Canis lupus familiaris: one gene and its partners. The protein of the gene in region 2 interacts with the protein of the main gene of each other region in a biochemical or structural test. Links are inferred from orthologs where the notes say so. Each region holds a gene or a part of one and is shown on either strand. Other genes may lie near its edges.

Region 1 (4,514 bases), on a different chromosome or scaffold from region 2:
GGGTCCTCCTACTGTCCCAGTTCACAAGTGTCACAAGTATCCAGGCTGGCCCCAGGACATTCTCTGGCTTACCTACCTTCATTTTTCCTATTGCAAAACCCTCTACTCTTTATTTCCTTAACCTTTTCTAGAGCCTATTGCTAACCCACAGTTTTCCAAACTGCGCCCACCCGCCCCCAGAGTGATCCACAGGAGGAGAAATTGTTCCCACTGATGGTGACGTAGGTTGACTTCTATCCAGTCCTACTTGGTACGGGGTACGCTCAAGCGTTTATCATTGTCATCTTGAATTCTTACGACAATCTAGAGGTGATTACACACCTATGCATATATATGCACACCCACACGCAAATGAGGAAACCCGGGCTTCAAGAAGTCAAGCAACTTGCTCCAGGTGAAAAAGTGAAAAGTCCATAGCAGGATGCAGGCAAGAAGATTCCAGAGTCTCCCGGCTCTTGGCTTCTGTTCAAATTCCAAGTGATGCTGAAATATAGGAACATAACCTGCCCTCTGCCCTTAAGCAAAGCGCTTCAAACTCTTGTTAGGAGTAGATGTAAAGGGACGCCTGGGTGGCTCAGTGGTTGAGCGTCTGCCTTTGGCTCAGGGCGTGATCCTGGAGACCTGGGATCGAGTCCCACATTGGGCTCCCTGCAGGGAGCTTGCTCCCTCTGCCTCTGTCTCTGCCTCTCTGTGTCTCTCATGACTAAATCAATAAAATCTTAAAAAAAAAAAAAAAAAGGAGTAGATGTAAAGATTCAATACGCACAACACAAGGTAAAATCGAGAGCCACTGTTTGTGGTATTGGGTTTGGTATCTTTGATCGGAGGAGGAAGGTACAGATAATGCAAGGTACAGATGATAACCAGCACCTCCCAGGGTTCGGGGACGATGCACGGGGTTAGGCACCTGCAGCGCATGACACGTAGTAAGCATCTAGCAGGGAGTTAACTATCATCATTTGGAAAGGACTGGAGAGGGACACCTGGTGGCTCAGCGGTTGAGCCTCTGCCCTTGGCTCAGGGCGTGACCCCGGGGTTTCAGGATCGAGTCCCGCGTCGGGCTCCCTGCATGGAGCCTGCTTCTCCCTCTGCCTGTGTCTCTGCGTCTCTCCCTCTGCGTGTCTCTCATGAATAAATAAATAAAATCTTAAAAAAAAAAAAAAAGGAAAGGAGTCTGGAGGCCGGCTGTGTAAGTGTGCACGCCCGACCCCCGCACCCAAATGCTCCCATCCTCGGCCTCGTGGCGCGTGAAAATAGGCGGCTGCAGCGGACCAAGTGCGAAGCGCAGTGAGGGGCGCAGGCGCCTCCCGGGGCTTCCGAGGGGCCTCGGCGTCGGAAAGGGTGAGCGACCAGCCTGGGGGCGGGCTTAGCGCGCTCGGCCCCGCCCCCGCCCCCGCCCGCAAGCCCCGCCCCGCCCCCCGCAGGCCCCGCCCCCGCAGGCCCCGCCCCCGCCCCGCCCGGGAGGCGCTGGCAGCTCAGCGCGGGAGCAGTTCCGGTGCCAAGACTCGTCCCTCCCCCGCTTCCCCGGAAGTGCTTCTCCCAGGCTCGGGCCGGAGAGAGGCCTTGCAGGCACAGCTGCCGAGCCTCGGTCGGCTCCGAGCAGGGGCTGGAGCCCGGGGTCCGCGGCCGCCCACCCGCTCCCGCCTCCTGCCAGCGCCCGGGCCGGCGGTGAGTGGCCGGGGGGGCGCCCCGGGACGGCGGCGGGGCGCGGCGGGGCTGGGCTGTCGGGCTCCGGGGAGGGGGCTCGTCGGCCGCCGGCGCCCCGGGCGAGTGCGGGGGGCGGGCGGGGCGGGGCCGGGGCGCGGGGTCCCGGGACCTGAGAGCGGGGCCGGGCCGGGCCTCGGCGCCCCGGGTCTCGGCGCCGCCTCCCGGGCGCGCTCTCCGCCGCCGGCCCTGGGCTCGGCCTCGGGCTGCAGGTCCCGACGTTGGTGCCCTCGGGGGCGGCAGCCGGGGGTCCTCCGCGGCGCTGCTCGTCCACACGCGCCGGGGGAGCGCCTCGGGACGGCGCCCCGGGGGCACCGGGTGTGCGGGGCCCGCAGCGCGCCTGCCCCGCTCCCCGCTCCCCGCTCCCCGGAGAGCCTGCTCGGGCGGCCGCTGCAAGGCGTTGAGGAAGACAGCTTGCCGGAGGGATATCAGTACTTAACTTCCCTTATTTTCTCCCACACTTAAAAAAAAAAAAAAGGAAAGAAAAAAGGAAAAAAAAGGGGGGGGAAAGGGAAGCTGTTCTCTAATCGGCGCTCCTGATTGTTGTGGCCACCCCGGAGTCACAGTGGGATGACGGCTTCAGCTTGCGGTTATTGCACGAATTGACGGCCGGAGGTTGGAGAATCACTGTGCCCCCTCTTCCCTGAAGTTTGTATATCTTCATATATGTCTTTTTATTATTTTTTTAAGATTTTATTTATTTATTCATGAGACACACACACACACACACAGAGGCAGAGACCCAGGCAGTGGGAGCAGCAGGCTCCACGCAGGGAGCCCGACGTGGGGCTGGATCCCTGGTCCCCGGGGTCACGCCCTGGGCCGCAGGCAGGTGCTCACCCGCTGAGCCACCGGGCTGCCCTATACCTTCGTATTTTTGGACCTGTCATTTTCCTTAACTTTCAAAGACTGTTTTCTTTCTTTCTTTTTTTTTTCTCAGTGGCTCCTTAGAGGTTCCAGTTGTGCTGCAATGCAGAGGTTGTCACAGGTGGATAGAGGTGGTGTGTGTGTGTGTGTGTGTGTGTGTGTGTGTTAAGCTGCATTTTGAGCTTTACCTCGGATAAATTGAGAATTTCCTAGAGGAGAAAACGATGCAGTAGGTAGGTAGTGTTTTTTAGTGGACTTAGTTCTTAGCTACTAGACTGTGTGTGGGGGGGGGCAGGGGGGAGGTTTGTATGCAACGAGGCTTTTCTGCATTTAATAGTGATTTTTCAATGATGATGGCAAGAGAATGCAAATGCATTCACTGAGGGTTGTGACCGGCTGCAGATGACCATTGCATTTTTTTTTATTTTTATTTTTTGCAATGTAAAGTGCACACAAACCGTTTATTGTGAAGCCAGTGACCCTTTTCCTGTGCTTCTCACCTTGTGCTTATATTAAGATGTATACTGTAGTTTTTTTAGGTACTTATCTCATTCTCTCTCCTCCCACTGCTGAAAGGGGAGGTAATATCCTGCATTAGGGAAAAATAGACTGAAGTGGTGAGTTCAGTGAGCTCTCTTCCTGTGCAAAAGAAAAGTTATTTCAGTGTTGTTGATTTTTCAGCAGGCAAAGGGTGGCTGACTTTTTAGAAATTCTTGTTTCTTTTATTCCTTTATTGATTGTGGTCAAAGGGTGGTTGATTTTTACAGTCCCTGGTGGGGGGAAAAGTTAAATTAGATTTAGACATTGTGGATTCTTAGCCATTTGCAATGCTTGATTGTTTAGAGCTTACGGTTGGAATATTGGAATTGAGAAAACCTGCAAAAGGAGTCAAGTTAGATATGATCATGGATCCATAGTGCAAGTAGGATAGTATGATAGGTTTTTTGATAGTATGATAGGTGTTTTGAAGGAGAAATATTTAAAGAATTGTAAGAGCAGAAAAAGGCAGTTGGGGAATTTCAGGTGCCCTTAGGCTCTGTAAATTTCATTAGGTTCAGGTCCATTCGATAGATGTTGAATATTTGCATTGTAAATTTTATTGTATTATTGAAGTCAATGAGTACTGAATTTTTGCTATGTTAGGCATCAAGCTCTGTTAGGCAACCGCGTAGGAATGAATATACAGCCGTAACCATTAAAATTCATGTTTTGGCAATAATTTTCTAAGGTGTGTCAGAAATCATGAAGAGGTGAATTGTATTGCTTGGGCATATTAAAATTTTTTTTCTAATTAGAGGTGGGTGTTGTGTGTTTTATGAAAAGTACTGTTAGGCATTATAGGATACAAAGATGAAGCATTTGGTCTTTAGGAATTTGAAATCTAGAAGTCCTGAGATGTAAGATATTTACATAAAAGTATGTAAATACTGTGTGAGTGGGATGACCTAAAGTTTGGAGTTCTATGAAAAGAAAATGGGTTCATTTTTAACTGGAGTAAGCAGCTAAAAAGTAGAAAGTGGTGGAGATAAAAGAGCACTCTGAAGCTGTTGAGCACTTGGCATCACGCTTCATGCTGGTCACACTACGTACATTTTCTAAGCTTCACAACGACATAAAAGCATCTTAATAAATAATGAGGGCAATGCTTAAGTATGTTAGGTAGCTGAGCCTCAGTTTGAATCCAGGTCTGCCTGGTGTCAAAGCCTGTGCATTTCCACTCCATCATGCTACTTCTCAATAAACTGGTAGCCTGAGTTTAACATTGCAGAGGGTGAGACTTTTCTGACACAAGAATTTAGGGGTCGGGAGTAGGTGGATGAAGACTTTTCAAATAAAGGGAGTGATGCAAGTGCAGGCATGGAGGTGGGAAAGTTCACTGTATACACAGAAGAGTTAATGGACAGATTGCTTAGAATATAGGGTTCATTTTTGGCAATAAGAGT
Region 2 (4,174 bases):
TAGCCCCAGAGCCTAATTTAAAATAAGATTCACAGGTAATTCTTTTTTTTTTTTTTTTAAGATTTTATTTATTTATTCATGAGAGAGAAAGAGGCAGAGACACAGGCAGAGAGAGAAGCAGGCTCGTAGCAGGGAGCCTGATGTGGGACTCGATCCCAGAACCCCGGGATCACGCCCTGAGCCAAAGGCAGATGCTCAACCTCCTGAGCCACCCAGGCATCCCAGATTCACAGGTAATTCTTAAGCATGCTAAATTTTAAGAATCACTGCTGTACTAGTAGAATGCCTTAACCAGATTTCAAACTTTGCATTCCAGATAATGCACTACAATGTCTTTGCATAAAATAAAAGTAATGCACATTCACTTGGCTCAACTAGGAAAAAGCCAACTTTAACAAATAAAACCAAGGGCTCTCAATAGCCTTTCAGTAGTGCTAGGAAAGTCTTTTGAACTAAGCAAGGAACTATTAATTTCTCTCAGGAGAGCATGGTACATCTCTATTCTGTATTAATTTCTCCAAAATCTATTATTATTTTGTTCTAGGCAACAATCAGAACTGCTGCTGCACAACAGGCAACATAACAGCAATTTCTCAAAAAAACTGCTAAGTACCATCAACTAGTAGTATTTAAAACCCAGCAATCCCTCAAATCTGAATACACTTGCTAAGGGAGTAAACTGCCTCAAGCACTTAAATGCTTGCTTTTAGTATCAAAGAAAGCCAATTACAAGAATTAACTTCGGTTTTTATTTTGGGAATTCAGAAAATTTTGGACAAAGGAAGGAGTAATGAAACAGTTATTTATATCGAAAAAACCCCAAGAACAGTAACAACGATGCCCCATTAGAAGAACCCTGGTAAAGAATCCAATTGCCACAATGGGCAAGTTGTTTTTTTTTTTAAATATTTTATTTTATTTATTCATGAGAGACACAGAGCGAGAGAGAGAGAGAGAGAGAGGCAGAGACACAGGCAGAGGAGAAGCAGGCTCCATGCAGGGAGCCCGATGTGGAACTCGATCCCAGGTCTACCAGGATCACGCCCTGGGCTGCAGGCAGCGCTAAACCGCTGCGCCACCGGGGCTGCCCAATGGGCAAGTTTTAATTCATCAGTGATCTAAAGAAATTCTATTCCCTTAAATATTTAATGTTATCTTAATTCTACTGTAACATAGGTCTAAGGTTGGTTTTCATTTTCTAACACACACCACTCCCACTAAAAGCCGAAAAAGAAGTCCTACAAACCCCAAATTGACCCAATCTTCCTTACTAGTATAAAAGAGACATAGGAAGAAAAGTGTAAGCAGGCACAAAAGCACAATGTTAAAATGAAGAGAACAACTAAAACACAAATAACACAAGCAAGCTACACTTGTGACCTAGTGGCAGTATTGATTACTTACGGATGAATTCAATCCTTTGAGCCTCCCAGTTCCCAGGGGGAGAACTTAAAGTCTCCCAAGGCTCTCTGGCAACTCTTCTGGCTGACTGAAGGAACACAGTGGACGCTTCAAAGTGAAGGATAAAGCAGGAAAAAGGGTATCTTCCCCGGAGAGAAAACGGAATCTTTAAATGAGGGAGAAGACAAACTGCACCAAAGGGCAGAAACCTTGAAAAATTATGCCAAAGAGGGGACAAAAAGGAGGAAGGGGAAGTAGATTAGAAGAAGGGGGGGAGGGATGAGCAAATGACTTGCATTACACAAGCAAACACTTAGTGTCCCCAGTGAAAATGGAGACAAGTAGGTAGAAAGGGAAGGCAACTACTGGAGAAGTATAAAGTGAGAGAGAGAGACAGGAAAGCCAAAGAGATATGCTATCTTCTTTCATGTGTCTTTTGGGCTCTTTTCTGAGTCAACAGTACCAAAAGACACAGGTCGAGTGCACTTCGGCTCCTCTGCAAATCGTACCTTTTGGAAGAACTCCCTAAACGAGCTGTTAACTCACGGGGCGTATATGGAGAGCGATGCAAATGAAAAATACCAGTGCCTTCCTTATCCTCTTGCACAGAAACCTTTCCTCGGAGCATTTCCAACCAACTGCTGCTTATTGTTCTTTACAAGTATTTTTCAGTGTAGTTTCAAAAAAACAAAAACAAAAAAACTAGACATCTCAGCTGGCTCCGGCAGCAAAAGTTCTAAATCACGGTATTCATAGGGTCGGTGGGCTCCCTCCCCAAATTCTGGCCCAAAGACACCGGGAGATGGTGACGTGGTGGCCGTGCAGGTCGCAAGAGCATCAATCACCACACTTGCAGCCGCGGCGAATCCCCCGCCTCCCGGGCCGGGCCGAGTCAGACTGACTCACAGAATGAGTACCCAGGGCTCCCGGGGTTCTCCCGGGCCCCTCTGCGCAAGCCGTCCCCCGAGAAAGCGTGAAACTTAAAGAGGCGCACCCGGCCTCCTGCCCCGAGCTAAGCTAAGGGAAGGACGGTCCCCAGGAAGGAAGCGCCCCAAAAAGGGAAATACGGAGCCCGGGGGACTCCGTTCTCCGCGCCAGGCCTCGTCGCCCCGACCCTGATCCCCAACCCTGGCAGCCCTCGGTAGACCGGGCCCGGTCCTCGCGGGCCACCTCCCGCTGCCGAGCAGGGGAGCAGCAGCACCGGAGCAGCAGCAGCGCCGCCGCCGCCGCCGCCGCCGCCGCCGCCCGTACTCACCGTGGCGCAGCAGCTCCGCTCCGCGCCCGGCCGACCCGTCTGCAGCGGTGCGAGCGGCCGCGGACCGCGCTGCTGCTCCCCGAGGGCAGCGCCTGCTCCCGCCGCCGTCGCCGCTTCAGTCTTCGTCGCAGCCGCCGCCGCCGCCGCCCGCTCGCTCGCTAGCAGCAGCAACACAGCCGCCTGGCTTCCGCTCCTCGTCGGGGTCCCGCGAGAACTTCCCCGCGCGGCCCCGCCCCGTCCCGCCTCGCCCCGCCCCCGCGAGACTTCCCCCGGCGGAAAAGGCCCAGAGCGCACGCGCTCCTCCTCGGCCGGGGCCCCGCAGGTAGCCGCCGTCTAGACGCCAGGGCGCCTGCGCCAGACCGCCCCGGAGCAGGTGGCACCCACGTGGCCCCGCCTCTGGGTCGCTGTAACCCTCTCTGTGCCAAGGAGGGTAGATGACAGCTGAGCCCTGAAGGAGCAACTCTTCATCACAGCCTAATCACTTCCCTTTTCCTGCCATCAAACCGAGGATTTTGCCGGGGGATGTCGGAATCTCCCTCTATCCTGAAGCGCTCCAAATAGAGGACCAGCTTTTGAAATGCTTGAGAATTCGGTCCAAACCGCACTGTTAGACGAATGAACATATTCTTCGCTCATGGGTCTAATCAAGTGCCTGATGTGTGCTAATCCTAGGCATAGGTATAGGTATACAGGTGTTGGGTAAAGAGGTACAATGATGAACAGGTATCTCGGCCCTCGAGGAAATCGAGGAAATCGCGGTCTACAGGAGCCGGAGAGGGAGGCTTGGCTGGCTCAGCGGTTGAGCATCTTTCTTTGGCTCAGGTCGTCATCCTTGAGTCCCTGAACCGAATCCCACATTGGGCTCCCTGCATGGAGCCTGCTTCTCTCTCTGCCTATGTTTCTGCCTCTGTGTGTGAATAATAATGAATAAATGAAATCTTATGAATAATAAATGAATAAATGAATAAATAAAATCTTAAAAAATGAATTGAATAAATCAAATCTTGAATAAATAAAATCTTAAAAATGAATTGAATAAATAAAATCTTGAATAAGTAAAATCTTTTAAAAAATTAGAGGAGCGGAAGAAAACAAAAAAATGCCATATGCAATGTTAGAATTATTTGGGAGAATGCTGAGGAAGCTAAAAAGATGGGAGGGAGAACTGCTACTCTGCCCATCTCAGAATAGCCTCCCAGAGAAGGTGATGATGATGTCTGAGCTGAGTCTTGGAGGACGAGTAGGAGTTCACTAGACGGAGCTGTCGGGGAAAGGCGCTTCGGGCGAAGGGAACCGCATGCCTGTACAAAGGAACGGAGGCGTGAGAGAGAGTCGTGTTCTGTGCGATGCTAAGTTGTTCGATTCCTGTGTGAGGCGGGTGAGAACGGGGGAGCAGCAGATGAGGCTTGAAGAAGTAACTCCTATTTTTCAGTTCCAAAAGCTCTTTCCAATTAAAGAGAACAGAACGTATCTAATGGTAGTGTGCTCCCTGGAAGCCAACAAAATAGTGCTGAGATG
Region 3 (3,730 bases), on a different chromosome or scaffold from region 2:
AGCAAACACTCATGAGAGAAAGAGAGTGGAAAAGGCAAAAAATATCTTATCATCTTAATGAAAATAGTTTTGACCTCACAGAACTCCAGAGAGGGGGGGCTTCCCAGGCCATACCCTGGGAGCCACTGTTCTGGTAGTTTCCATCATAGTGAACAACCAAGGTACATATTTTAAACAAAGACTTACTCTCGAGCAAAACTCCTAGTGATGGGAGATCTAACTGGGGCCTGTAGTTCTTCCCATTCTGGCAAAGGTTTTATTTCTAAAGGCGCTGGCTTGGCTGAAATGAAAGAGAGAAAAAGAGGCTTCAGTACACGGAAATTTGGAAAACAAAACAAGATCCTCACTCTCTCTCTCTCCTTATACAATACGGCCAGAGTACACCTAAGAGCAGCTGGCTTCACAAATGAGATGAGCTTCACAGATGTTCTGTGATTTGCCCAAGGTTACACAGCTAAATGATTAGGGACAAAAGCTAAATCCAATAATGCTTCATGATGGTTGACTCAAAGTCTGAAGCTTTATTACAACACATTACTTCTTAATATTTTATGAAAATAAACTAAATGAGAAGAAACGGTAATGTGACCCAATTCCTTTATAGTTACTTGATGTATTATTTCCTTATATCCTTCATTATTATTTCCTTATATCCTTTTTTAAAAAATAATTTTATCTCCAAGTATAGAGCTTTAGTCTTCTATGGAAAAACATTTCTACTCTTCAATATTGATGCATCAGTTATACAATTATATATATAAAATGATGTATAGAAAGTATTAAATACAAAACTTTGCCAAAATCAAAAACTGAAAAATAACTGACCAAATCTTTTAAATTATTTCAAATCCAGTCTGAAAACAAAGAAAGCAATAATAATATTTTAAGACTCAAACTCAGCTCTGAGAGAAGGCCATAATTAAAAATCACCTTGAACTTTTAGCTTAATATAACCAAAAATATCCTTTACCAAATCAAACAATAATAAACACTAATATTCTTTTTAGCTTGACTTATAAGTGGTCTCTGCTTATTTACCTCATTATTACCATAGACAATTATCATGCTAGTAAATACCACAGAGCTCTCAGCACTTAAAAAGTAAAACATTTCAGAAATTAATGGACAAAAGAACTAATACAAATGTGATATGTTAATATTAATTATATTTTAGGAGACTCTTTAAACATATTAGGAGAATATTCTAGTTACATTTCATCTCGCCACTCCAAAGAAAAATTTTTCATTTTTCTAGGTTTCTTTCTTCCACTCTTAGTCCATATATGGGCATACTTTTATTCAACTCATACTTTTAATCAACTATGTTGTAATTACTGTCAAACTATAAAATAGGTGGTCATTTTAAAGGACTATGTAGAGTCACTGGAGCTTATAAATATTTTTGTCTATTCAAAACAAAAAACTCAATGTGATTTTCTGAAGACTAGGTAAGTCTGAGTTTAAATCTTACTCACCCATATACTTAAAATGGACAGACACAGAATATTGTGCTGAGTAAATGTACTTCTTTAACTCTCATGTTTCACTTTTTCGAAACCCAAAGGCTAATGGCAGTTTAGCTGTCAAATTCTAAGTAATGGCATAAAATAATTAATCCACGGGAAGTGATTCTGTATTTTGTTTCAGAACAGAATACAGACCACATCATATATAAATAAGGGAGACATCTGGAACTCACAAGTAGTTCATAAGCTTAAATACAACAATGTATTGATATCTAAAAGTTTAAGAGAATAATGCAAAAGGACAAGACTAAATATTATGTATTATCAAATTTAACATGCTGCTGTTAATGGCATAACAAGTAGACTTACTGTGTCTATGGAAAGACACAATGGGAAGACACACATTATAGGAAGCATTCACTTTAGAAATAACATGCTAGGAAGCTTTATTTACAACAGCAGTAGTACTTAAGGCTCTTCTTAAGAAAAAAACATCACAAAATAAATTCCCAATGCCCCATCCAGCATGCGGTGCTAAAGTACATACCCTTTCTTCTTGTAGCAAAGTCACCTATGGTTTGTGAATCAGTTCGCTCTAAACCATGGGGTTTGGGTCTTAAAATTTTAGGACTTTGACCTAATTGGTAAAAAGAAGACTCTCTTAATATAATGTTATTTTTTAATGGGAAAAATGGATTCTGTAAAAAAAGCATACAGAGCCCTGAGCAGAAATGTTACAATCTCAAAAGCATAAACAAAAGTTTGTGGAAAATATTTCAATCTTGTTCAGTATATCGTTCATGCTCGGTACAATGGAAAGAAGAACTTACATGCAACAGTGTGACAAGCAAAGTATTTAAGAGATGGTAGGGTTTTAGTGGGATAACCACACTGGTTAGTGGTTATCTTTATTTGGGGAAAGGGAGGAAAGACATGTGCCATGTTAGTTATTCCTCTAACATGCCTTAGAAAACTGGATCAAATAAAAAATGATAAAATACCTCAAAGTACATCTTTTCTTCAAAGTCTGACGTCTGATAAGAAAGTATCAAAGCCTATATCCCTATAATATTACTTTCTTAATTTAATGTAGGTATTTAAAAACCCTTAACCTAACTTACTCCTTCACCTCCTGACCAAGGGCCCTTCTAGAGGAGCAGGTTAACGCTACACTGTTTGGTAATCCAAGACCAAAACCGAGACCAATGTTTGTTTCCCTTGGATACCGACTGGTAGGTCCCAGGCAACATCATTTTGTAATTATTAGAGGTCTTAATTCTGGAAGTGACTGTCTAGCTTCGATGTTAAGTGTCTGAAAACATAGATTCAGTCGCCCTCGTTTTCTTTTCATGTACTCTCCCACACAGAGGTACTGCTGGAAAGCCTCATGAAAAGGATAGGGTTAACATCCTGCAGTGGCCTCACTTTTTCCCATAGGAAGCCTGGAGGCCGGAGTAGAAATATCATTTAAATTAGTAACTTAAGCTGCTCTCTTCTCAGTGGCACCAAATTTTCTTCTTTTTTTGGCATTTACAAAACTGAGTCAACATCTATTAGCAGAATTAGAATTTGCTGATTGAGTGTCAATATCTAGTACCTTCTCTACTGCAGGTTAAGTTTCTTAAAGTATGAATCTCTAGGTTATAAAACGTGACAATTCTCTAATGAACCAATTTTCTAAGTTAGGGAATTAATACATTGAGTTCATTCAGAAATGAGGCAGGTATAGTTTAAAATGTGAGTGAGAAAATTTAGGGCTGTGCTCCTACCCCTAATGCTGAATACCTATCCAGGGCCCACGCTGGCAGGGAACTTTCCTAAAAACAACGGAGGATGTCAGTTTTTTATAAACTCCCCGAAACAATGTACTTTCCTTCAAAAAAAGTAAGAGGCGGAGGGTAAGGGTTGCTACAAAAAAATATACTTATTTTTACAGCTAAAAGCCTTTTTTTTTACAGATCAAATCTAACTTCTTCATTTTATGGATGCGATAACCCTGACGAATGAAAGAGGTTAAGTGACTTGCTTGGGTCATGACATTAATTACGGAGGCCAAACGAAGGCTTCCCCATAGCTGCCTGCTGGCGTATGCTCCTGTGCTGTCCGGCTGTTGTACTTCTCTATCCCCTTGGGCAATGGAAAATCCTAGGAAACCGGTGCTTAGAGGTCAATTTTGAATTGCTCAGTTCAGTTCGAGATCTTACATCTACTTGAATGACAGAGTTTATCCGTGAGCGAGGTCAAGTTTAATATTCACTTCTCAG
Region 4 (4,329 bases), about 47 Mb from region 2:
GGCAACAGACAGGACGGAGAAGTCAGGAGCAGCCTGAGCTGTTTGTACCAAATGCACATAAAGATGTGTTTCCCATTCACTTGGCCCAAAAGCAGACCCTGACACCCTGTTGTTCTGCTTTGGAGCATGGAGTCATCAGTCATCCACTGAGATGTTGAGTGTAGACTATGGAAAATATACTCAGATCAGGGTCAGAGGGGTGTCTGGGATTCACAAAATCTGGTTCCTAAATATTGCTCTAAAATCCCATTTCTAAAACATCAACAACCCTTAAAGACGCAGCCAAACAGATAAACTGTGAAGGACTGCTCCACACCCTTGCTACTGCAGATCCTTAGCAGGGGTTCCCTGGATTCGGGGTCAGGGAAACAAACCCCTATCCCAGGGTCTAAACTGCATAAACAAATCTCAACACTGGCCAAAATGTACTCCTGGTCAACGGGACCCATGCAGACTCAGAAATCAGGGCAGGGAGCTGCTCTTTCTTTTACCCCAACTCACAGTGAACCTTGCAATGCCTGCTATTACTCACCACACTCCCACAGCTCCTCTTATTGAAACTACTGAACACAAACTGTAAAATAAAACACAGAGGCTGGCTTTAATTTTGCCTGTAAACCAGGCTGCTTCCAATGGTTAATTTCAAGAACTTTTATACATTTTTCTAAAAAACAAAACAAAACAAAAACACCAGAGATTATCTGAAAGTAAATATATTAAATTCCTGTTATAAAAGTAGTGCTTTTGAATTACTGGATTTTTATGATGATTTTCTTGTTAGTGGCTAGAGAGATCAACCCATGTAGCACTGAGTAAGTCCTGGATCCTGACCCACCTCAGTAAATAACCATGTCTGCTGAGATTCATTCTTCTGAAGGATACTGTACTGTGATGCAACCAGCAACCATTTTTGTAATGGTGTCCCCTCCTGGTTAGTAAAAATACATTAAAGAAAGTATAACAAGCCTCACAGAACCATTACCTGGATTCTTTTTTTTTTTAATATTTTATTTATTATTTATTTGAGTGAGAGAAAGAGAAAGCACACATGAGTGGGGTGAGGGGCAGACGGAGAAGCAAGCTCCCTGCTGAGCAGAGAGCCAGATGTGGGCTCTATCCTGGGACACTGGGATCATGACCTGAGCCAAAGGCAGATGCTTAAACTGACTGCGACACCCAGGTGCCCCAATTACCTGGATTCTGACACTTGTCAAATTTATACTATTTTGCTTCTCTGTATGTATATATGCACTCATTCACCTGAACCACTTTGGAATAAAATTATAGACAGTATAATGCTTCACCCCTAAATACTTTAGCATGACTATCCAAAAGGACATTCTCCTGCATGACTCATTACCATCATTATACAAAATAAAATCAGCAATAGTCCCCAGATATCATCTATTACCCAGTTCATATCAAACTTCCTGAATGGTCCCCCAAATGTCTTTCTCACTGTTTTGTTCAAACCAGGACCCAAAGACCACTAGTGATTACTTTTTTCATCGTAGCATGTCAGACAAAGGATGACTGACAGAGGGACAGGAACTTGACATGAAATAAGCAGCCTACCTACTTTTCCCTTTTAAAAAGAACAAGTTACCCATAACCTGACCACAGAGGACAACTATTGTTAGCATTTCCATAGATTTCTTCCAGGTTACATTTTCCACATAAACACATATCCATATATATATATACAGGTGCATTCAAACTGTCTTGCTGCTGGTCAAGTGCTAGCTCTGCTTTCTGTGGCAAGTGGAGGTAAAAGCCAAGACCTGAAGTCCCAAAGGCCTACGGCTGGGCTGCAGGGTTAATGACCGTGAAAAAAGCAGCTCAGTACACTGGAAAACTAAGTTGCCCTGGGACATGGCTAAATGGGTCCCCAGTTTCAGGTGTGCCATGGCAGTGCTTGTGGTCTCACTGGCTTCCTCCTCCTCAAGACTGACACTAACACAAACCCTTTAAGAGACATCGAGTATGGTCAGTCAATGCTGGCCAGTATCATGGGCATCTAGGACAGGTTAACCTAAGATTTCCAACAGAATGTACTTTGAATTCTTCGGAAGAAGAACGATATATATTTAAAGCTATTAATAACATTCTCTCACCAAACTGTTACAAAAGATTCAAGCTCCTGGCTATCAAGATTTTTATTTGGGATATTTCTTAAAGCTTAGAATTTTCGATTGGCAGATACATGCTGCAGTGAGCACAAACCTGGAGCTGCACTTCATTCTCAGCCAGGCTATGATAGCACACTGAGATACAGATCACTTTAATCATCAGGAGAGCTGTTAATTTTCTTTAAAATATGTTGACCTACAGAGCCTTTGTGGTGTGGAAGGTGTTTGCCAAGCAGTTCCAGCTTTGGTGCGGAGCCAAAATATCCTAATGCAAGGCTGCCTCCTTTCTCCTGGAGACAAAGCCCAGGGCCTGCTTACCTTGCTTCCAGGGGCACAGACGGCTTCGCTTCCGGGGCTTCTGTTTCTCAGCAGCATTGCCCATTCTAAAGCCAGAAGCTCACAGGGTCCTCCCAAGCCTAGAGGTCTTTGCTGAACAGGGAGTAAGGACCAAGGTGCCGGCTGAAAGGGACTTCATCTCTCCAACATCCCAATCACCTCGCAAGCCCTGGCAAACCCTTCCAAGAAAAATCTGAAATTCTGTTCAGAGCAGTCCTTGCCTCCTGCCTTTCAAACTCCCTTTGCTTCCAGGGAGGAAGCCAGAAGAAAAGACTTGTTATCGCCCCACGGGTGGGTCTCCGTCCCCCATCAGTCCATCTATATTAGGAAGCTCTTCCTTGGCCTTCCTTTGACACTCTATTACTCATCGGCACAGCAGCGGCCTCAGAGTGAACTGCACTTCCAAACACTTTCAATGCTGCCTTTCCTTGGGGGAGGAGTGGCAAACTGGGTGGCCAAAAAGCTGAAAGTTAAAAACGGACCAATTCGGGATGTGCCGTGAGAAACATTTTCCAAGCTTGAGATTTAGTGAGATATTCTTAAGAACAGGCTATTCTATTTATCTTTACATACCTCTAGAAAGTTTACATTTGAATCATTTGGGGATTCCTGGAGAAGCAGCTGAACCATAGGGTCCTCATTTCAAAGCTGTTCTCTCAAAGAAATTTCTAGTTTATTTGTAAGGTTCATCAATAAATCAGCTGTTTCTGTCTCGAAATGCATTTTCTGGGGATCCCTGGTTGGCTCAGCGGTTTAGCACCTGCCTTCGGCCCAGGGCATGATCCTGGAGTCCCGGGATCCTGGAGTCCCGGGATCAAGTCCCACATCAGGCTCCCTGCATGGAGCCTGCTTCTCCCTCTGCCGGTGTCTCTGCCTTTCTCTGTGTCTCTCATGAATAAACAAATAAAATCTTTAAATCTAAAATCTAAAAAAAAAAAAAATCAAAATGCATTTTCTTATGAAAGCACTGTATAAATGTACTTGTGACCCATCTTCAGTCCACACATTAGGGAGGCAACATGGGACTCTAACAGTCGAGATGAATCAACAATGAAATGGTACCAGTAGAACACTCACTGCACTGCTGATATGATGTGGTTCCATTTTTTGCACTAATGCCTCAAGGATGACATGGATGTATGAACTGCTTAGAATCACACCTACTTGGCCACATGTTATCAGTTACCCCTTGAGGTATCACTACCAAAAGCCCAAATCGCTCACAGAAGGGGAGGGTCCACCAAACTTCTCCTCTATTTTAGAGATGAAGCCAGGAGGGGATCAAGGCTACATAGCTGGTGAAACAGCTAGATCTAGCTCCATCTTTACTCTTGGCTAGAAAAGCCACTACCCATTTCCTCACGACTGGAGAAGGCAGGAGATCGGGAAAGGTGCTGGCCCTGGAGGGAAGCTGGCCTGATCCGAATCTGTGGGCACTTCCCAGGTGGGTAGCTCTGCAACAAGAACTTAACCTCCCTGGACCTGATCTTTTTCACTTATGTAAAATGTGTACAATCATGCTGCCTACTTCATAGGACAGTTTAAAGGTTAACCATGCTGTTTAAGGAAGTGCCTGGCAGGTGGCAGATACTCTTAATGAAGAGGGACTCTTGCTGTTTTTATTATTTTATTAACTGTAAACATCCAGCTTTAGATATGTTAAAGAGAAATTATTTACCCTCGAAGGGTTTTTTTCTCCCCATATCAGGGTGAGATCCGTCGCAAAATTCTGGTAAATTCCTCATTCCTTTAGTGCAAATAAAATTTCACTTATAACATTTGTACCATCAGAGTAACATTTCAATTATGGAAAGTGACCTAAACCAGGAAGGTAATACCGTAAGAAGTCAGAAACCGAGGTTCT
Region 5 (4,235 bases), on a different chromosome or scaffold from region 2:
GTCAGCATACAGTCACTTATCCCATAAATGAGGAGAGGGGAGAGTGTAAACAGTCCTAAATTGGCGCCTCAACCTTAGGCAGTGGTGGGGACTGGAGGTGATAGGGGCACCAACCCGAGGAAATAGTTGCCGATATGTGGGCTCCTTCTGCACCAAAATGTACCCCCAGGTACCCCTTGTCAGAAGAGTTGCCGCTGGCCACAGATTCTTCCCCTGGGGCGCTCCTCCACCCAACGCAGGCGGCGCGGACTTGGGGTCCGGAATTGAGGGTCACCCAGCAAGCTCTGCTTGCACACTGCTGTGCAATCTGTCTCCAGCCTGCAGATGCCCAACCACTCGCCGTGGAGCGGGGCCTGGAGCGTCTGAGGGCCCTTGTATGGGGGCCACAATCAGCGGAATGTGTCACCCGCCACCCACCTCGACCATGTCCCCTGGCCTTCAGCCGCGTATGCCCAAGTCCCGTAGCCTGGGAACCACAGCTGCGGGACAAGACGTATGCATAGCTTTGGGGCACCACGCGTGCGGTAGGGACCCCTGGGAAGGGGTCCGCGCGCGCAATCCCGACCCCGACCGCAACAGCGGGACGCATCTCCGGATCCTCTCTCCCTTTGAACCTCCCCCCCGCCCCCAACGGCAGAACACCATGTGTCACATTTCTAGTCGGCTCGGTGGCAAAGCAGGCCCCGGTACGCGCAACTAGAAGGCGGGAGTGATTTCCCTGGGGCTTGGGTGGGGATGGTGTGAGCTGACTTGATGTAAGACGACATCTATGGCGCCAGGTCCATTCCAGGCACTTCGCGGGTTCTTCTCGCCGAGAAAGCCTACGTCCTTTGAATACCTTGCAGCAATGGGGAGGGGCGGGGGAGTAGGAATGGAATACATTTGGAGAGAGGGATGGAAAGATAGTTTTTGAGTCGCAGTCCGTCTTGGTTTCTAGACATTGGCACAATTCGTATTTGGCCTCAGTTTCCTCATCTGTAAACTGGAAGGCCCACGTCCAAGGGGCTGGGACTGTAAAGAGGCGGAAGGCGTGGTGCACGGGCTGCCAGTGCTCCCGGGGTCTGGGCGGCCGCGGGGTGCACGCACACCTCCCACGCCGCGCAGAAGCGGTCGAGACCGTGAGACCCAGCTCAGCGCCCCAGGCGTGCTTGCAAGCGAGCGCTCGGAGGCGCGCAGGGCGGGGCCCGCTAGGGCTGGGAGACGCCCGTTCGGTGTGGGCCAATCAGCGCCTGTCTCTGAACCGCCAATCAGGGCCCACCTTACAGCCAAGGCCGGGTCGGGAGCGAGGCTGCGGCGAGTGCGGCGCTGACAGAGACGCGCGCGCGCCAGCCAGTTCGGACCCCGGGCCGCGGCCGCCATCACCGCCGCCCGCCCAGTCGCCCCTCAGCCGCTTCCCCTCGCCATGGAGGCGAGGCCGCCGCCGCCGCCGCGGAGCTCCGAGCCGCGGGCCGGGCGGCGGCCCTGAGGGCGTGTGGCGGGCCGAGACGCCGCCGCGGAGTCGAGGCGGAGCCGCCGTCCTCGTTCCCAGCGGTCCCGCCCAGCGCTGGACTCGGTGAGTGCTCGCGGCCGCCGCCGCCCGGGTGGGCTCCGCGAGGGGGGGCGGCTCCAGGCTGCGTGTGGGAGGGCTCGCCGGCCGGAGCCCCAGGTCCTCTGTTCCCGGCAGAACCCGTCAGGCAGCTCCAGTGGGACCCCGCGTCCTTGCGCTGTCGGTGCGGGGGGGGGGGGGGTGTCCCCGGAAACGTGCGGGACAGGGCGCCGACCCCTCTCGACGGCCCGAGAACTTCGCGTGCGTCCTTCTGGGGCCAGGCCAGGGTGCTGCCGTAGTTCATTCTGAAGGGAGAAACTTGGAACAGTGAAGACAGAATTTGCGCCGGTCCATGTAATGGGAAGAAAGGCGAAGACTCCTGGCATGAGAAAATTTGCTCTTGCGGAGACTAACTTTTCTTTGCCTTAACCCCCCTGGCCTCTGGCTCAGGCCCCTTTCTTTTCCGCCCACTCCCAACTGTCGAGGCTGCTTAAGAAGGGAAATAGGGGGTCAGAGCTGCCCAGAATTCAAAATGAGCCAGTCGGGAATGCGGATTCCCCTTCTTTTTTTTTTTTACTTTTGGTAAATAAAGAATAACGTGTGTTTTAATTTTAAATTAGTTCTTGATTGTATTTCTTGAAGATGAAAATAATAATGGCAGAGCTGAGGTACCCCCCCCCCCCCCCCCCGAGATCAGTGATGATGTTTGTAAGATTGGAAAAGAGGAATGTTCAAAACCTCCCTCGGCGGGTAAAATGCCTTCAGAAACCTGTACCCAGGGTAGGGATTTGTGCTCTAGAACCAGTCGCATCTCCCAGGAGATGTCTTCATTTGCCACCTGCTTGCTGTTTAAGGCAGCCTAGAACCAGAAGATGGTGGGCGAAGAGAGAGCTGAGGGTGGAAGATGGGCGAACATCTTCCTGCCTGGCCACTCCTGCAAAAAAACACGGATCTGATGCTGTCACTTGTTTACTTAAAAACTCCTCGCTCTCCTTTTCCCATGGGATGAATGAAGCCCAAAATGTCTTATCAAGTCATACAAGGCCCTGGACGGTCTTGCCTCTATTTACTCATAGCTTAGTTTTTCGATTTTCCTTTCCCTCTTTCCTAGCCCTTTGGAGCTGCTTGACTGCCTCCTCACATGTTTGGATGTGCTTGTGTGATCCTCTTTCTTCCCCCTTCTTTAATCTGCCAAGCTCTGCCTCTGTCTTTAAAGATCTTCTGATTTGAGAAGCTTCTTGAGGCCAGGAGCTGTGTCATGTTTACCTTTCCATCCCCCATGCCAAGACGATTCTTCTTCTCAATTGTCTTGTAGGTCCCATTCCAGCTCTTTCCCCATATGTCTCGTCTCTGTTTACTTCCAGGTACCCACTTGCTGAGAGAATCTTTTCCTGAGTGTTTCCCAAAGGCCTACTTGGAGTGTATGGCACATCTAGGATATTTAGTATCTCAGATTGCCCATCTCTTGTGTCTGTTCTCATCCAGTCGCCATAAGTAGTCAGCAGGCAGGAACTGGCAGATCTCATATCCCACTGGTTTCCAATCTGCTTGACTGTCTCTGAAAGCCTCAAAGCCCCATGATCTCTTTTCACCTCTGCCTGCCCCAGGTGGCCTGGCTACTATGTGTATTCCAAGGCATGTGGGATCCAGGAGGCAATTCGCTGGGTGGGTACCTTTTAGTCACTTACTTACCATCTGGATGAAATTCAGAACCAGAAAAGCCAATCAGCTGACTTAAGTAAAGGTGTTCATGTGCCTTCTATTTGCCAGGTAAAGAGCTTGGAATACAAAATAGAAGCAAAGAAGTCAAATCTTTACTTTTTAGGAGCTCTCAGGACAGGTGGATACAAAAACCTCACAAGTACTATGAGAATGTAGTAATGATAATAACTGTTGTCTTTTATTTGCCTTGTGAGAGACTGTGTAATAAATTCATTCCATGAATTATCTTATTTAATCATTTCAGTGGTCGATTAGGGGCTTATTCCTATTTGGCAAGGTGGAAACTGAGGCCATATAAAGGGCACATGAGGGAATAGTCAGGATTTGAATCTTGGCAGTCTAGTTCCAGAACATCTGCCAGGCTGTATAGAGAGCATTCCTTTCCTGGGAGGGGACCTTTGGGTCACAAAGGATGCGTACTGAGTTTGTGTGTTGTGGACAGATTGTAGGAAAGAAGAAGCATCATGTGAGGGCTTGGAGGTGGAAAGAGTCCACTGTCCTTGGGGAGCAGAGGTTAAAACAACTGAGTTGGGTAGAGGGGAGAAGGAAGGGAGATGAGATTAGAGTGAGCTTGCAGGGCTCTCTGTGCTGTTTTTGAGTTTGGGCAGTGGAGAGCCACTGAAGGATTTTTTTTTTTTTTAAGATTTTATTTATTCATGAGAGACACGGGGGTGGGGGGAGAGGCAGTGACGGCAGGGAGCCTGTTGTGGGACTCCCCGGTCTCCAGGATCATGCCCTGGGCTGAAGGCGGTGCTAAACCGCTGAGCCACCCGGGCTGCCCGAGCCACTGAAGGATTTTAAAGATGGTTAGGGACCTCGACTGGCTGGGCTTTGGAAAGGTCATTTAGGGTCAGTGTGGGGCCAGAAGCTGATGCCCCTCAATTTGGAGGCAATGCTCAGGCCCCACAGAGGTGGAGTTATAGCCTCTTAAGACCCAGGGAGGGCTAGAGAGAATCCTCAGTTTCAGGAAAAGATAAATAAATGTGAT
Region 6 (3,144 bases), on a different chromosome or scaffold from region 2:
TGTCCAGAGTTACCAAGTCTCCAGACAACCTGCTCTCCCAAGCCGCCCTCCCCGCCATGAGGGCACCCAAAGGGATGGGGGGCTGGCTTATTTGGCAGTCAGACCCTAAGAAGCTGGCATGAATGGCCGAGCACTGGCCGTGCTGTGGGACACCATTGTGCCCATGGGCCTGGCCCCCCCCTGTCCTCCAGTGGGGCTGCCTTCCCACACCTTCCCCCAGCTAGACAGAAGCGGCTGGCTGCACAGCAGCTGTCCCCACACCTCCCCACAAAGCAGGCAATTCCTTAACCATCTTTCATTCCTAAGGGAAAGCATACAGAAAACCACCTGTCAGAATAGGCTTTACTCTTTCTTCTCTTCCTGCCCCTACCCCATCCCTGACAGCCTTACCGTCCGCAGTCCCAGTGGCCCCACAGCACAGGACAGGTGTGTCCACAGGACAGGTCATAGCCTCCCCCTCTCCCGCCCTCCCCTCCCCTGGGCTCTGCCTCAAGACTTCCCTCCCACGGTGAAGAGCAGGAGGAAGTAACTTAGTTACGTATGATACTACTGAGAAGGAAAATAGTACTGCCATCATTTAAAGTCCTTTTCAGAAGTAAAGCTTTTCCCATAAAGTTTAAGATTTTTGTTAATATTTAAATTATAAACCAAACACTGGCAACCATATAGAGATGTGTTTGCTATGGACAAGACTGGGAGGTCATAATTGCAAAGACAACCTTGGAATTAGGTTTAAATAAACCAATACATTTTCTCAGAAATTGTATAATTTCCTTCGGTTTACAATCCATGATATGGAAAGTTTAATAGAACGTTAAATAATTTACCTTCTACCCTAAAAGTAAGCTATAGAAAACGGAATCACTATTAGGATCGAATAATAACAAGGCTTTAACGGCTCAGTGGTTTTTCTTAAGAGTATATAAATATATAAATCTTGAAAAGTAACACTGTTAGTTGAGCTGTAAAATCCATAAAAATAACAGTTCTGCCACAGTGCACAGACAAGTTCATTCATTTTTGCTCCCCACCCCAACCAAGCAGCTTTCCGGTTAGAAGTGGAAGACCTAGAAAATCATACACCTACATGAAATAATGAAGATAGTGAGAAATGGGGTGTGCAAAAAATAACCTTTAAAATTCCATCTCCAACATCACAGATGCCCAGTAACAGGACTTTCGACTGGTTTAACGAACACTCAGGATCATCTCCGCATCCTCCTGCAGTGCTGTCTGCAGACTTCGATCCCAGGTCTTCTGCTGCAATAGGGAGAGTGGTCTTCAGTCTGAACTGGGACGGGGGGCGGGGGTGGGGGTCCCCAGCCGGCCTGCTGGAGGGCGCCTGGAAGGAGGCATGTCTGTGTGTGCAGGGGCTTCCTGAATGCACTGGGGAACATCCCTGCTGTGGCCCGTGACCTGCTCCATCCCAGCCATCCTGGCCCCACCGGCACGGTCTCCGACAAAGGCCTCCAGGCTGTCGATGGCGCTCTTAGACCTTCTGCCTTCGGGTGGCTCCCTTGCTGTGTGGCAGGACTTGCCGTGCAGCTGGGCCAGCACATCCCCAAACTCTGGCATCCTGGTGAGCAGTTCTGGACTCCAGGTTCGCACCCAGAGCATCAACCTTGGGGCCAGCCCCTGGCTTCGGGCAGCAGGCAGGTGGTATAGCCCATGGCAGTACGGGGTGTCTAGGTCCTGCTCCTCCTCCTCCCATGGTCCTGAGGTGCTGCTGTCCCTCCTCCAGGCAGCTCCCTGGGGCTCGGCTCCTCAGGCCCCTCACCCAGTGGCCCGAGTGGCAGCCTGGGCTGCCCACTGCTGCTATTTCTAACATGATCCCCTGTATCTTGCAGGCTGGGCAGTCCCCGGCCACGGGCAGCGCGCCCTTGTGCTGTGTCGTCTTCCTCGAGCAGGCGGGGCCCCTCTGTAGGCAGATCCTGTGCTCCTCTGCCCCAGCTCGGGGGCCAAACTGCGGGGGGGGGGGGGGGGGTATGTGCCCCCACCCCTGCCCAGCTGGAGATTTAAAGCTACAGGACAATGTAAACTTGGGTTTGTTTCCCTGGCCCAGTGAGGCGGCTGCGGCTCCTCTCTTAGAAAGGTCAGCCATTCCTCAGAGCCTCCCGAGCTGCGGGCTGAGGCAGCCTCTCTCTTCAAGGGGCTGCAGCCATGGTCCCGGCCCCATGATGGAAGGCTCCATCTCCAGAAGTCAGGACCAGATATGTGTGCTTAATTAATTTGAGACACAGTACAGTTTTTGCCTTCACCCAGAGCTGCGGCAGGGAGGCCCCAAACAGTAATATATCTCATTCATGGCTTGGCTTTGTCTAGCAGTCACTGCTGGAATCCAGGTTCCAGGCCTCAGGGCCAGGAAGGCTGCCACGACAGGCCACTTCCCAAGAACCCAGCTCACGGCACTCCAGGAGGCACGCGGCACCTGCTGCTCTCAACGAGGCTGGCGCACAACTAGAGGCGGTTGTCTCCGTTGACCCGTGTCCTCCGTGGGGCCCTGGACAGAAGGAGGGAGTGTCCTCATCGGCAGTGGAGCCTCCAGTCCAGTGGGACAGCCCAAAGCCAGACAAGGGTAACTTCTACACAGAAGCAAGAGAAGGACCCAGAAGGGGCAGCAGGCGCTCCTTCCCATCACTCCAGTATGCCCCCCATCCTCTATCCCCTCACCTCCGTTCCCGACTGTCAAAATGGTCTGCCAGGTGCTCCTGGGAGATACGAAAGTCCTCAAATGGCTGCTGGTAGCGGGCCTCAAAGGAACCTTCACGGGCCCGGCCATGGAACAGCTGGCCTGAGGCATCAGAGCCTCGCTCCCGAAGAGACATCCCGAAGGGACTGAGGTCCCCATTCTCCTGCTTCAACAACAGCAGTGCACGAGGGGTCAGCACCTCCTGGGGCCTGGAGAGGCTCCCCGCCACCCACACCACCCTTACCTTGGCAGGGAACACGTCGATCTTGACGAGCAGGGAGGCCAGCTCTAGGTCCTCACTGTAGTTGTTCTTCAAAGGCACAGCTCTGTATCCTGGAAGGAGGAAAGCCTGGCCCTCAGCCCAGGAGGCAGCTGGGCAGGGGGAGCCCCCCACCTGCCCTGGCCCCCGGGCTAGAGCCCAGGCCCTGTCCCTAGGAAAGGCCTCACCTGTCTTC
Region 7 (4,427 bases), on a different chromosome or scaffold from region 2:
CAGTGAGCAAAACCACACATAGTCCTTACCATCATGGAGCTTCTAGAATCGTGGGGAAGAGAAACATTAATGCAAAATCACGCTCCAAAATGTACAATGACAATGGTCATGATGGGTATAAAGAGAAAGGTGTAAGGTATCATCTACGTATAATTAGCGAATTTGATTTAGGAAAGCCAGAAAAGCTTCCCTGAGGAAGTGACATGCAGGCTAAGACTTGCAGTATAATTTAGAGTTAAAACAGGCAAATCAGAGGAGAGAAGCTGTTTTCAGGCTAAATGAGGTGTTCAAAGTGGTATAAGGAGCATACATGAGGGCTGGAGTGAGAATGTGTGAGCAAGCTGTGAGATGAGACTGGCAAGGAAGCCAGAGAGCAGCCCTGCAGTGCCTTTGTATAGGAGCACTGCTATCCCCTTTCACAGATTAAAAAAAAACTGAGGCTCAGAACTCTTGAGTAATTTACCTAGAGTCTTACAGCTAGTTAGGTGGTAGCGCCTGAATTCAAAGTGTGGTAGAGAGAAGAATAGATCCCCTAAAGATGTCGATGCCTAATCTCTGGAACCTGTGAATGTGTTAGGTTACATGACAAAGGAGAATTAAGGTAGATGATGGAATTAAGGTTTCTAATAAACTGACATTAAAATAGGGTGATTATTTTATATTATCTTGGCAGACCAGGGTAATCTCAAGGGTCCTTATATTTGGAAGAGGAGGGGATCCCTGGATGGCTCAGCAGATTAGCACCTGCCTTTGGCCCAGGGCATGATCCTGGAGTCCCGGGATCGAGTCCCACATCAGGCTCCCTGCATGGAGCCTGCTTCTCCCTCTGCCTGTGTCTCTCTCTGTATTTCTCATGAATAAATAAATAAAATCTTTAAACATTTTTTGGAAGAGGAGGACAGAAGAGCTTACAGTGGTACAAAGTGAGAGAACTCGACCAGATCTTGTTGGCTTTGAAGATGGAGGAAGGGAACCATGAGCCAAGGAATACAGGTAGTCCTAGAAGCAAAAAGGGCAAGGAAGCAGATTCTACCCTAGAGATCCTCCAGAAAGGATCACAAACCTGCTGAAACCTGGATTTTAGCCTGGTGAGGCCTATTTTGGACTTCTGAACTACAGAATTGTGAGATAATACATTTGTGAGCCACTGACTTTGTGATAATTTGTCAGCAGCAAGAGGAAACTAGTGCACAAACTATACCCATTGGCTCCAGAGCCCGTGTTCCCACCCTAATAGCAACACGCCTTAACTGTTCAATGGGCTAAATCAGGAACTATAAAGATTAAAGTCTAAAGCTTCCTATCATTTTGAGTCTAAGATTCTTCAAATATCATTTCCCAACCATACAGCCAAGGTTATGTATAGTTTTTACATACGCTTCTTAGTTTTGTGAATTTTGAAAGGATGTGGTTATAGCCTTTGACATCAGAGGAGAAGCTCCACGTTGTTGACTGAACACTGATCAAAAGATAGCTTCGGAGGCAAGAGGCCTTTTAACAACTCTTTGAAGATCAACTGCCTCCCCTGTGCAGTCCTCACCCCAAAGCTGTTTCCACAGGTGGTGCCACGGGGTGATGCCCAAAGTGCATCACTTCCCAAGAATTGGATCATGAACAACTTTATCCTCCTGGAAGAACAACTCATCAAGAAATCACAACAAAAGAGAAGAACTTCTCCCTCAAACTTTAAAGTCCGTTTCTTTGTTTTAACCAAAACCAGCCTGGCATACTTTGAGAATCGTCACGGGGTATGTGAGCACTTTGTCTTGTCTTTTTTTAAGCAGTATTTTTTATTTAGATGGGGCTGAATCATGAAGATACACATGGAATAAAATAAAGCCAAAGGAGACACAGACGTGCTTGTTCTAACTGCCTCAAAAGTACAATAAGAATCATCAGAAGAGAATGTGGAGAAAAGTCCAGAGGTGGGGTGGTTGTATTCGGTGATTTTATTCTAAAACCTGCAAAAGAATATGTTTAATATTCGTTAGTGATTTTTTTCCTGCAAGTTCAAGTTTAAAATAATAATGTTTTATATGGCAAATGTTATGATTGGATAGAATTTTAGCTTCATCTGAAATATACTAGATTTTATGGAACATAGATTAATAAAATATTAGCATTTAATGGGATCTAAGAGATAATTTTTGCCCAGTTTCCTTAATTTATAGTGGGGGAAACTGATACTTGGAATGATTAAGTAATAATTCAATGTCAACATTTTTATGAATTTAATTCTATTTGTCCCACTGTCATTACTCACTTGATATCTTGGAATAATATTCCCTGGGCATTTAACTATGTTAAAATTGCAAGACCCAGTGGTAAACCTCTTTATCCCTTGGAAAACTTAGCCAGAGACAGGAGCTGTTGCAGTGCTCTGCAGTACAGATCAATAGTTCTTATCCAGAAGACTACAGCTGCTTAGCTAGGTCAGTCTTCTTATATATCTAGAGATACTCTTATATTCTATAAGATCAGTAATATTATGATTGTTCATGTTGCTCTTATTATCACTGATAATAATGCTGATAATAACCCTGGTTATTAGACCAAACTCTACTCTCTCTCGTGATTGAGCCTGGGAACATGTCTACTTTTTGCATCAGATTATTTCTTTCTATAATGAAAGGTCTGGAGGGACTACCTACAACATTCCTTTCGTCTTTAAAAATTCTTGTACCTGTTTAGGCCTTCTTAGCAAATTTTCAAAGCTTGTGTGTGACTTATTACTATATCATTATTTATTTTTCCCATTATTAAGGAAGTTAGGCAAGAGTTTTCACTTACATTTTACAGAAGGGGAAACAACATTATGTGCTTGGTGGTCACTTAGAGACAAAGACATCTCCATTCCTAGTTGGGATCTGACTTAGTAGGTATAGGCATGAGTTTGGGATCTTTCAAGAGCCAGGCTTTGAGGTGTTCAATAAAATGGAGCCCTGAAGGAGGTCAGACTGGTGATGGAACCTGTGGATGCTGCCAGTGAAATCATACTGCTGCTTCTTTAGAGGTTCAGACATGCTAATCTTCAGGATACTTGTACTGAAAATAATCAATAATCAATCTGAAGGCACATGGTATTACTTATGGACAAGGTCCCTTTGCTAGATACTCAGTAAGTATTTGTTAACTAAGTTAACAGACAGCCAGTAGCCAACTTGGAGGATTCATCATATATAGCTGATAAATCACATGGCATGGGTCAATTTTTTTCTTACTGTGATATTATAACTTGGTTTCTTCTTTCATATTGAGAGAAGAGTCATTTGATTTAAATATCTTTTTCAAAGCCCATTTTGTAGCTTTCACCACTTTGTTTTCCAGGCATCATGAGCTTTAGTTAGCAGTGATCATTTTTAAGCAGTGTTGCTGTTTATGGGCTGTTTGGTTGTGAATTTAGTACAATATTATTTACAAATAATCACACAACCAAAAGGTCTTGATTCAGATTTTTGTTGGTTATAATTTGCATATAGGCAATGTTGTAAAATCACTCTACTTATTCATTTAAGTATTCTTAAAAAACTCCAGGACACTTAATTCTGGGGTGCCAAAGCTAGAGTTCCTAACATTTCCATACAGGATATAGCAGATATATAGTGCACAAACATCACATTTTTTGTTTTCTAATGCCTGTGGTTCATATTCATATGCAACATTGATAAAAGCATTTCTTTAAATATTGTAAAAATCCATTGGTTACAAATTTATCCAAGGTCACTGAGAAAGGTAAGGTGTGTGAGTTGTTAGTATCCATGCCCTATATATGATCCGTTGTTTAGGGTCATTGATTTGCACACAAGTGTGCACTATGTATTACCTGTAAGTGACAATAGCTCTATGCTTATGGGAAGAAATGTTTCTTAAAAACTTAAAGCCTCAGCCTTATCATCTGTGAAGTGGATATGATAATAGTACTCGCTTCACGAGAATATGGTAAAGATTAACAGAGAGAATGTATTTAGACTAAACTATCTGAAATTACCACTCAGTAGATCAAAAAAGACCAGATATTAGCAATTTCGTATAGTTCAACTTAATATGTAATGTACTTAGTTAGCATAAGCCCTGCCACCTAAGAAGCACCTAGTAGAAATTAGTCATTATTTGTATCATCATCATGTCTCTAAAGGAGCAAGCAGGGGAACATAACATATTCATTTTCAAAGGAAGAAAAACATTGAAATGTTTCTCAAAGCCAGGCTAACGTCAGGGTCCTGGATTCTTTCTATTCAGTGATTAAATGCAAGTCTATGGAGATATATATGCATGATGTGTGATGCTGAACCAACTATTGCCCCTCTCGGGGTCACAGCTGCTTTTTCTCTTTGCTCATTTTTAAAAATTATGTTCCTTGTAGTTTTAAGATTCTGTGGATTTATGACATCATATGAAAAATAATCCAACCTACTCAGAAAAAAATT

Evidence for each region.
Region 1: the proteins of GRB2 (region 2) and FRS2 form a complex in vitro, tested with the Homo sapiens proteins (2 studies listed by BioGRID, with this or other methods). The link is inferred for Canis lupus familiaris from reciprocal best matches to the Homo sapiens genes GRB2 and FRS2.
Region 3: the proteins of GRB2 (region 2) and GAB1 form a complex in vitro, tested with the Homo sapiens proteins (5 studies listed by BioGRID and IntAct, with this or other methods). The link is inferred for Canis lupus familiaris from reciprocal best matches to the Homo sapiens genes GRB2 and GAB1.
Region 4: the proteins of GRB2 (region 2) and RAPGEF1 form a complex in vitro, tested with the Homo sapiens proteins (2 studies listed by BioGRID and IntAct, with this or other methods). The link is inferred for Canis lupus familiaris from reciprocal best matches to the Homo sapiens genes GRB2 and RAPGEF1.
Region 5: the proteins of GRB2 (region 2) and PTPRA form a complex in vitro, tested with the Homo sapiens proteins (3 studies listed by BioGRID and IntAct). The link is inferred for Canis lupus familiaris from reciprocal best matches to the Homo sapiens genes GRB2 and PTPRA.
Region 6: the proteins of GRB2 (region 2) and PLCG1 form a complex in vitro, tested with the Homo sapiens proteins (2 studies listed by BioGRID). The link is inferred for Canis lupus familiaris from reciprocal best matches to the Homo sapiens genes GRB2 and PLCG1.
Region 7: the proteins of GRB2 (region 2) and ITK form a complex in vitro, tested with the Homo sapiens proteins (2 studies listed by BioGRID). The link is inferred for Canis lupus familiaris from reciprocal best matches to the Homo sapiens genes GRB2 and ITK.

What each region holds. Positions count from the first base shown.
Region 1 is NC_049231.1:11,804,533-11,809,046, forward strand, and holds the start of FRS2 (fibroblast growth factor receptor substrate 2), read left to right. Parts: upstream 1-1,519; 5' UTR 1,520-1,668; intron 1,669-4,514. UniProt on the Homo sapiens protein: Adapter protein that links activated FGR and NGF receptors to downstream signaling pathways.
Region 2 is NC_049230.1:5,987,224-5,991,397, reverse strand, and holds the start of GRB2 (growth factor receptor-bound protein 2), read right to left. Parts: upstream 2,809-4,174; 5' UTR 2,657-2,808; intron 1-2,656. UniProt on the Homo sapiens protein: Non-enzymatic adapter protein that plays a pivotal role in precisely regulated signaling cascades from cell surface receptors to cellular responses, including signaling transduction and gene expression.
Region 3 is NC_049240.1:731,136-734,865, forward strand, and holds part of GAB1 (GRB2-associated-binding protein 1), read right to left. Parts: intron 2,104-3,730; coding exon 2,014-2,103; intron 281-2,013; coding exon 187-280; intron 1-186. UniProt on the Homo sapiens protein: Adapter protein that plays a role in intracellular signaling cascades triggered by activated receptor-type kinases. Plays a role in FGFR1 signaling. Probably involved in signaling by the epidermal growth factor receptor (EGFR) and the insulin receptor (INSR).
Region 4 is NC_049230.1:52,543,143-52,547,471, reverse strand, and holds the start of RAPGEF1 (rap guanine nucleotide exchange factor 1), read right to left. Parts: upstream 2,867-4,329; 5' UTR 2,512-2,866; coding exon 2,448-2,511; intron 1-2,447. UniProt on the Homo sapiens protein: Guanine nucleotide-releasing protein that binds to SH3 domain of CRK and GRB2/ASH. Transduces signals from CRK to activate RAS. Involved in cell branching and adhesion mediated by BCAR1-CRK-RAPGEF1 signaling and activation of RAP1.
Region 5 is NC_049245.1:18,845,251-18,849,485, reverse strand, and holds the start of PTPRA (receptor-type tyrosine-protein phosphatase alpha), read left to right. Parts: upstream 1-1,422; 5' UTR 1,423-1,552; intron 1,553-4,235. UniProt on the Homo sapiens protein: Tyrosine protein phosphatase which is involved in integrin-mediated focal adhesion formation.
Region 6 is NC_049245.1:29,786,066-29,789,209, reverse strand, and holds the end of PLCG1 (1-phosphatidylinositol 4,5-bisphosphate phosphodiesterase gamma-1), read right to left. Parts: coding exon 3,137-3,144; intron 3,023-3,136; coding exon 2,934-3,022; intron 2,856-2,933; coding exon 2,671-2,855; intron 2,501-2,670; coding exon 2,458-2,500; 3' UTR 727-2,457; downstream 1-726. UniProt on the Homo sapiens protein: Mediates the production of the second messenger molecules diacylglycerol (DAG) and inositol 1,4,5-trisphosphate (IP3). Plays an important role in the regulation of intracellular signaling cascades.
Region 7 is NC_049225.1:53,850,147-53,854,573, reverse strand, and holds the start of ITK (tyrosine-protein kinase ITK/TSK), read left to right. Parts: upstream 1-1,610; coding exon 1,611-1,748; intron 1,749-4,427. UniProt on the Homo sapiens protein: Tyrosine kinase that plays an essential role in regulation of the adaptive immune response. Regulates the development, function and differentiation of conventional T-cells and nonconventional NKT-cells.